2 linked regions of the Solanum lycopersicum genome follow. The protein of the gene in region 1 binds, or shares a complex with, the protein of each later gene. Links are inferred from orthologs where the notes say so. Each region holds a gene or a part of one and is shown on either strand. Other genes may lie near its edges.

What was found. The genes of interacting proteins can lie anywhere in the genome.
Region 2: lethal leaf spot 1-like protein (region 1) and red chlorophyll catabolite reductase, chloroplastic share a complex: the UniProt entries of both Arabidopsis thaliana proteins name them as parts of the SGR1-CCE-LHCII complex. The link is inferred for Solanum lycopersicum from reciprocal best matches to the Arabidopsis thaliana genes ACD1 and ACD2.

The regions. Positions count from the first base shown.
Region 1 is NC_090810.1:57,602,815-57,607,167, forward strand, and holds the start of lethal leaf spot 1-like protein, read right to left. Parts: upstream 2,848-4,353; 5' UTR 2,759-2,847; coding exon 2,339-2,758; intron 2,246-2,338; coding exon 2,010-2,245; intron 1,680-2,009; coding exon 1,553-1,679; intron 680-1,552; coding exon 543-679; intron 133-542; coding exon 1-132. Other genes in the region: uncharacterized protein, read right to left, coding at 4,194-4,329. UniProt on the Arabidopsis thaliana protein: Catalyzes the key reaction of chlorophyll catabolism, porphyrin macrocycle cleavage of pheophorbide a (pheide a) to a primary fluorescent catabolite (pFCC). Works in a two-step reaction with red chlorophyll catabolite reductase (RCCR).
Region 2 is NC_090802.1:10,423,493-10,427,527, reverse strand, and holds the start of red chlorophyll catabolite reductase, chloroplastic, read right to left. Parts: upstream 2,806-4,035; 5' UTR 2,739-2,805; coding exon 2,406-2,738; intron 1-2,405. UniProt on the Arabidopsis thaliana protein: Catalyzes the key reaction of chlorophyll catabolism, porphyrin macrocycle cleavage of pheophorbide a (pheide a) to a primary fluorescent catabolite (pFCC).

The DNA.
Region 1 (4,353 bases):
AACTGGAAGAAGTTTCGAGCACTACAAACAATTGACCTGGTCTTTCCTGGTGCCATAGGTACATTAAAGGAACAAATCCATATCACCCACTTCTGATCACCCACGATTGGAAGCTTTGTGTCGATCTCTATTCTGGAAAATTTTCCAATGAGATCTTAGTCATACTATGCAAATAGTTGCAGCATGGATGGAGCTAACATTTACATATAAAACGTAATTCATACAAAGATATAAAGACATGTATACCAACAACAAAGCGAACTTCCATCTATTGATGCGCAAAGCCTTGTACAAACCATGCACCTGGTCTGGAAAGCTATACCTTAAAGAACCCGACTTGAACAGGATATAATGCCCACAACCATAAGAGTATAGATACATAATGCTACTAATGTCTCGTTTTGTTAGCAGATAACAGACTCTGTGAAGTAGGAGAAAGAGAAATGTGATGCAAGCATATCTACCTAAAGATGATTAATTTATACATGATTGCTTGCCTTGATAGTCAAGAAATTTGATCTACTTTAGGATGATGAACTTACTTATTCATTGAGTAACAAGGTGCGACAAATTTTGCAGTAATTTTTGGTTTATCATTGTTCGCACCAGCAAAACCCCAAGGTCCAGATGCCTCCATCTTGAATGGCAAGGGCTTTGCTCTGTCTCGCCTTCCAGTAACCTGTAAAATATCAACAAGTAAGTTAAGAGACATGTGTTGTTGGACACCAAGCAAGCAGCAGCAGTATCACTCTAGTAAAAATGCACATCTATATATACACCGTATTCTGTTATCTGATACATGAAGCCCTTTGCTAATAATAAAGTCGTTTAGCGACTGAAAAGATGAAAGCTCTACTTCAGATCTTTCTGAAATTTATATTTACAGATAGATACACACAACATTGTCTGTAAAGGTTATTTTAAGGATCGTCTGGCACGCTGTTCAGTATCTAGACTCCAGAGAGCCTAATCCTGTCAGCTGAATATGAAGCAACATCCAGAGTCAAAACATGTTATTCAGCATCCACACTCCGGATAGCCTAATCCTATCAGCTTCATCTTTTAAGATGGTAAGATCGAAAAACTATCCATAAATTGATAAAAGTAGCACTGAAGTCATAAGAGTGATAGTTAAGATTCCCATGGCGTACTTCTACCTATTGCTCTCCAAGTATGGCTTTTACCTAATAATTGCACAGAAAGTAAGGTTATGAAAACTTGTATAAAACAATGAGCAACACTCAAAAGCTACACCTTTATACCGTTCCAGATAAAGAGAAAATCCTCCAAGGAACGACCTTATATATGTTTTGGCCAAGCACAGCGAGCTACTTGGCTTAAGAGTTCAAAAGTTCACTTTTTTCACATGTGAAACAGTTTGAGTTCATATTTTCATGGAAATCAAAAACCAAACAACCCGTAGCTTATGAGAACTCAGAACTAACCCTGAAGACTATTCATTTTTAGCATGTAAGGATAAAACCTTAGGTCTGAAAGTGGATTCTTAACTATATTAGAAGCCAAAAAGGAATGAAAATGTTGCAAAAAATACCTTGTGGTGTGCAAAATCAATGTGAGAAGGATCAGAGACGTTCTCCATGAGAGTGTCATAGCCATAAAACAAATCACGCTGAATTGTCACAGTTGCAAACTCAGGCTTATCAAAATCTTCAGGCAACCTACAAATATCCCATTAAACAACAAATTTAAATCCCACTAAAAGTATACTCAAGTCTACCAACTATAATATCTTGATCAACGCGATAGGTAGGGGAATGGGATTCGATTCTTCAACCACACATGCAGGGCATCAACCAAGTGAGCTACCAAATCAATCTCATTATCCAGCAATAGCTTAAATAAAATACGAAGAACATATTTTAAGCAAGTCATTGTACTAAAGATAATCGATTAGTATTATAATATAAACCAAGTCACTATAGTAGAGATTAATATATAATAATATAGCATAACTTCGAACTAGTTTAATTAATTATTCAGAAACTTACATGGGCGGCTTTGTTGCCTGAGCTCTCTCCCATCCATTTTCATCAGGCCAAACAAAGAGTAATCCTTGAGAAACCATAGTAGGAAATCTAGTAGCACAAGCTCTTGGAGACTGAAAAGCTTTAGCTTCAGGTCCTTGAGATGCAGCTTGAGGTATCCTTGTACAAGAACCACATCCATTAAATGACCATCCATGATATGAACACTGCAAATCACCATTTTCATCTAATCTCCCTTCCTACAAACACCCATACATCAAAAACTTTAAAGAGGAGTGCTAAAAACACATATAAAAAGTATCCTCAAGCAAAATCGAGAAGTGGATTTGTACAGATAAAGGAGCAAGACGATGAGGGCATTTGTCATCCAAAGCAACCCACTGAGATCCAGATTTATCAAACCAGATAACTATATCACGATTCAGTAGCTGAAACGGTGTGGGTAAACTCGGGTCGAGATCTTCCACTAATGAAACTGGGTACCAATGATCTCTCCAAGAGAATTTCGACGACGAATCTTGTTCATCATTTTCTGTATCTTCAATATCACTAGATTTTGAATCTAGCTTCTCTTCTTCTTCAGTAGCTGTTGTTGTTGTTGGAGGTGCAGCTACTCTAAGAGGAGATGAAATTAGCGTATTTTTTTTCCTTGTAATTTGAAGAAAATTATGAGGTTTGAAAGGTAGTGAAGACTGTAAGGAAGATGAAATTGAAAGAATTTGAGGAGTTGGTAGTAACAGAGAAGAAACCATTATTGAGTTAATCAATGTTTTGTGTTACTAATACACATATGTTCAAGTAAAGAAGAAGAAGAAGGATTTGCGTGCAAGTTATGAACAATGTGTTTGAATTGGAATTTGATGAGTTTTGTGGTTTGTGAGGGAGGGCCCAGAAAATGAAAGCTGTGGTGGTGGTGCTTTAGGGAGAAGAAGAGACCGTGTTAACGCGGAGTGGTAAATACTTCTTTTATTTGGTTAGAGTTCTTAGGCTTGACTCATTCGAATATGGAATCGTATTTTTATTAGAGAGCTCTTTATTCTCAACGTGACACAAATTCAAATTTGATTAGGTTACACATGATAATAATTGTGAAAGTAAAGAGGAGATAAAATCAATGGTTAAATGTCAATAGCAAAATATTTCTATTACACACTTTCAACTCAAAATTTTAAAAAAATATATTTCTAACATGTGTTTGGAGTAAGGACTAAGGAGTGGAAAAGAAAATGATCTTGAAATGTCACAATATTTAGATAAGTTATTTAGTATAATTTCATAATATATCATATCGTAGCATATTACATTATATATTATTTTGATAAAAATATATTAATATATCCTATCGTTATCGATTGAATGTCATAATCAATACTTACAAGAAAATAAGATAGATCTAAGATCGAAAAAAAGATGAAATAAAATTATTAAACAAAATGAGAAGAAAGAAAAATAAAATTATAATACAGTCACACCAAATTGATGATTATACAAAATAAAAATTTTTCAATGTTATCTAATAATAAATTTAACAATACAGTACAGTAATAAAAGAGTCATTTTCTTAAAAGATTTCACCAACCAAATATGGAAAATATGTCAAAACACGCCCTAGTAGCAACAATTTTCTTCTTTGCTTTTTTTTTCTATTCATAAAAAAAAATCTAGTTCTATTCCCAATTCCCACCAATGTTTTCCTTTTCTTTTACTTGAATTTGGTATGAAAGTAAGTGCCTTCTTCCATTTAAACCAAATCATTAAAAAGAGGGGGGGAAAAAAAATTCAATTTTCCCTTTCTTTTTACCCTCATTTTCAAACTTCTTACTGAAAATTCTAGCCCCGTTCCACGCAGCATATTACATATTGTTGTTTCTGAACAATAAAGCAACATCACACTTACATATCTGAAAATCTCTAAAAGAACAATTTTTCTTGAAACAGTAGTGTCCAAGCTAGATAGGACGCTCCTCGATCACACTCTCAAACATGCAAATTTCCTCCAGAGTTTTCGATAACAATGGTGTCCAGGCCAGCTAGGGTGCTCCTGGATCACTCTCAAACATGCTAATTTCTCCTGAGCCAGTTTCAACAGACTCTCATTATTATCTCTTTTCATTGAATAGAAAGAAAAAGGGGAAATCTAGAGTGACTTCAATAACTAGCAAAACTAATATCTAATCAAGAAAGATGTTATTTCTTAGGGTATGTTTGATGATCAGGTCCAATATCACGCGATCCCGTGTTGATGTAAGGGCCACGAAATGTCGCCTGGGGTGGCAATGGCTTTGATGAATCAATGACTGGAGTTGCCCTTGATGATCTTGACCTGAATTGAAACAATGAATTAGCT
Region 2 (4,035 bases), on another chromosome or scaffold:
CTTTTATTATAGGCATTAGAAAAAGAACACTAAATGGACTTGTCAAAGAACTCTCAATGGAATGACTAACTATAAGCGGAGGAATGGAACTGGATAAGAATAAATGAACAGAAGCCAGATCCAAATTGCTATCTCCCTGATGCTTTTGCAGTCCTTATGTATAACTCCCCAAGAAGACATCAGGTGAATGCAACTTGCAGAGAACTACAAATTATGAACAAGGATAATTCTTGAAATCGAGCAGTTACATTGGTTGGTCAATTTTGGATGCACACTCTCTTAGCTTCTCTCTATGAAGATCTATTGATCTTTTCAGCAAACACCAATTGTGCATCGGAACCCACCTAAAACACTAGTTATACATTCAATCCATACTCATCTCAACCAACTGCAGTCTCTCCTACACCGACAACTCAGTAAAACGCACCCGCTCTCCTACAACCCCCAATGGTTAGTTTGAACCAATCCAGCCGAAAAATCCCAAACACACAATAATCAACTCCTTCTAGCACCAACAACCACAACACCAATAAACATCATCCCCTATTTCTTCCAATCCTTCAGAGGAACAACACATGGACAATAATAAACTCCTAAAGCTTGCCCCTAACAGTTCACCAGAACCTCCAACTTGCTATTAACACTCAGCCTACTCTTTTGCAGATCACGCATGCAACACCTCAACAGGAAAATACTACCCATTCAAAATCCACCCACCAAAATCATTTAACCCCTCAGCCAAAGGTGTCCTCAGATTTCACACACCCTCTTCAAAATTGAAATCGGATGACGCGACCAACATCAATGGAACTGATCATAACCCTGTTGCCACTGATAAATCAGAACCCCAATATTCAACTCCAACAGAAACATCCCAATTTAGCAGGGAAAGGTAAAAGGGTGCTACTTCATCGAAACCAACCTTCACAGAAAGGTTCAAGCTGATTTGCCAATGCCTCAATCGCCGAAGCTCCTGTTGAAATTAGGCATGAGACTCATCTCGGAAAGCCAACCATATATTTCTCTGCTGATGACTATTTCGTGAATTTGGCTAATAATTGCAAATGACTATTGTGGGTAAATTTATCAAAGGAACCTACTATGAAAGAACTAAGGAAAATTTTTGTGAGTCAATTTCAATTGAAAGGAAGAGTCGAGATTGGGTACTACAACTACAACACTATTTACATTGACTTTCTGTAACAAAACAGACTTCAATAACATTTTTTCAAGTCATTCATTCACATTGGGTCGGTCATACACTATGAAATCCTGAGATGTGCACAGAATTTTAAACCAGAGCAAGAAACTTCTATTGTTCCAGATTGGATACTAGTTCACAACTTACCTCAGCACCTATTCAGATGGGAAACTCAGTGCCGCCAGATATTGAAGTTGGGAATGGTAATGGTGAGAAGGTGAGATTGCAGATCATATGAATTTTCCCCCTACAGCTCCTGAAGCTAGGGAATGGGGAACAAGCAGAGATCAAACTACTTTGACAAGATCACAGAAAAACTAGTTGAGATGTATTTCACAGAACAAACTGCAAACTATTAAAATATTAGTGGGAGTTTGCAGCACATTCACGAATTTTGTTTGTTATATATTTTTTAATTGTAACGAATGGATTGTTATTTACTAGAAAGTGCAAGATATATAGCTTGAACAAGAAATACTCAATTTGAAATTAGCTCAAAGGAAACAGATTTGATAAAAATCTTGTCTGACTTCATTGGGTGAATAAAACCAAAAATACATTTGCTGATCTTCTTAACTCCCATCACCACATTATACAGATAAGTATTTGGCATTTCAATTCATGTTACTTCTATTAAAAGAATTAGCATACATAGTAAAAAGGACAATCTACAAAAAGCACAATGCGTAATGGATTAACTCTTCTGCATAAGCCAAATCCACTAAAATAAGATGACAAGATCTAGCTTTCTCAATCATTATTCTATAGTACATAATAATTTTCTTGTTTTCTTTATCAACTTCACTATGTACAAGATAGTAGTGTATTCATTCATATTGAAGGGCATTAGGAGAAAATTCTTGGCGTTTTTTTTTTGGTTGCATACTTTATGCATGCTCAAGCCTTGAAGCAAGGCTTACACATGTTGACCACTTCGCTTAATGTGCACTTCAGTGTCGTCATTAAGTCCCAAGACAAACTTTTCCTTGAAAATAAGGGTTCTAAACTATTGGTATCACACTTTATTATTATGAAAATCAATTTCTTTGTCCATAGATTTGTTATTCACCCTGTATATACTAATTCAACAAAACATCCAACAGGAAGTAATTCTATATCATACTACATATAATTGACACAACTGCAAAAACGAATGAATAGGTAATAAATAGTAGAATCAATTGAGGAGGTAGTCGGAGAGTACCTGAGAAGAGGAATTTCCAGATCTGACATAGAGAGAAGCATGAGCAGTAGCAGATTCATTCTCAAAATACTGCACATGAGAAGGCAGAGTACAAGGAAGTAGAGACTCTCCAAGACGATTCTCCACAGTCGATACAAGTTCCACCATTAACTCTCTATGCGGAACAGATGCATAAGGAAATTCCTTAAATTTCGATTCATGATGTTCCATGGAAGTTGATGACGACGAGCAACAGAAGCGTTTTCCGACGGAAAAAGAACGAGAGGAAGAAGAGGGGAGTGATTGTGTGAGAATTGAAGTGTGAAATTTGGCAGAGGAGAGTGGAACAGCCATAGCAGGAGGACTGTCATGTTCACTGCTATCTCTTTGCTTTTTGGGAAGCAAACGAACATCACGTGCTGTGGCCCATGTAATACGCTGTCGTTTGTATTTTTAAAAATCAGAATTTTGAATTAGGATTTAAAATACAAAAATTTGATTAAACATATCTTAAACATGGTTATTTTAATCAAATTTTTGTATTTTAAATCCTAATTCAAAATTCTGATTTTTAAAAATACAATATATATATATATATATACCAGTCATTTATTTCATATGTAAATAAAATTTATAATTTCTATCATGATTTTTTAAACGGTTTGTATCTCATATAATGATTGTTCTCGCAATATGAATTTATTTTGACTTTAAATTAATGCATTTCTTAATTTATCAATTATATCTATGAAAATTATTATATTTTATCAAATTTATAACTATAGTTTTAAAAAACTTGAATTGGTCCATAATATAAAAAGGAACTTTGCATATATTCACTCAAAAATAGCCTAATTATGCTTCATAGTTATAATTTGTTAATTACAATTCGTAGCTATATGTTATAGAGAAAGAGAGTGACGAGAGAGATTGAGAGAGGGATAAGAGATACGAGCGAGAGAGTGAGAGGTGAATTACACATGTATATCAGGTAGATAATTGTGTATTATACATATGTATTTCTATATATGGCAAGCGAGATTGAGAGAGGAGGGAGAGAGATGAGCGAGATTGAGAGATGGAGGAGAGAGGGTAGAAATGGGATAGAGGTAAATTGTGTATGTATATTGGTTAGATAATTGAATATTATTCATATAGGTTTTGTATATATGACAAGTAAGATTGGGAGAAGGAGGAGAGAAGCGAGCTAGGTTGTGAGAGGGAGGAGAGAGACGAGCAAGATTGGGAGAGAGAGGAGAGAATCAAGCGAGATCGGGAGAGGGAGGAGAGAGGCAAGTGAGAGAGGGCAATAATTTGTATATTCGCATCTCGTTTGTATAATTCGTGGGTACCTTTGTATAATTCCGTGTTTTTGCATGATTGAGCAATATTAAGTTTAAAATTATACAAATATGAAAAAAAACACCTCAAAATAACGAATTGATATAAATATACATTTATTGACTTTAAATAGTTACATTAAATAAATTATATTATAAAAAAAAAGTGCACGTTTATACAAACTTTTGAAAGCTATACACAAAAAGATTGAATATATAAAGTGACAAAACTGAGAAACCAAAGGAAATTATCTCATATGCAAATACAAATCATCGTATAGAAATATAAATCAAACAAAGAATTGTTAGTT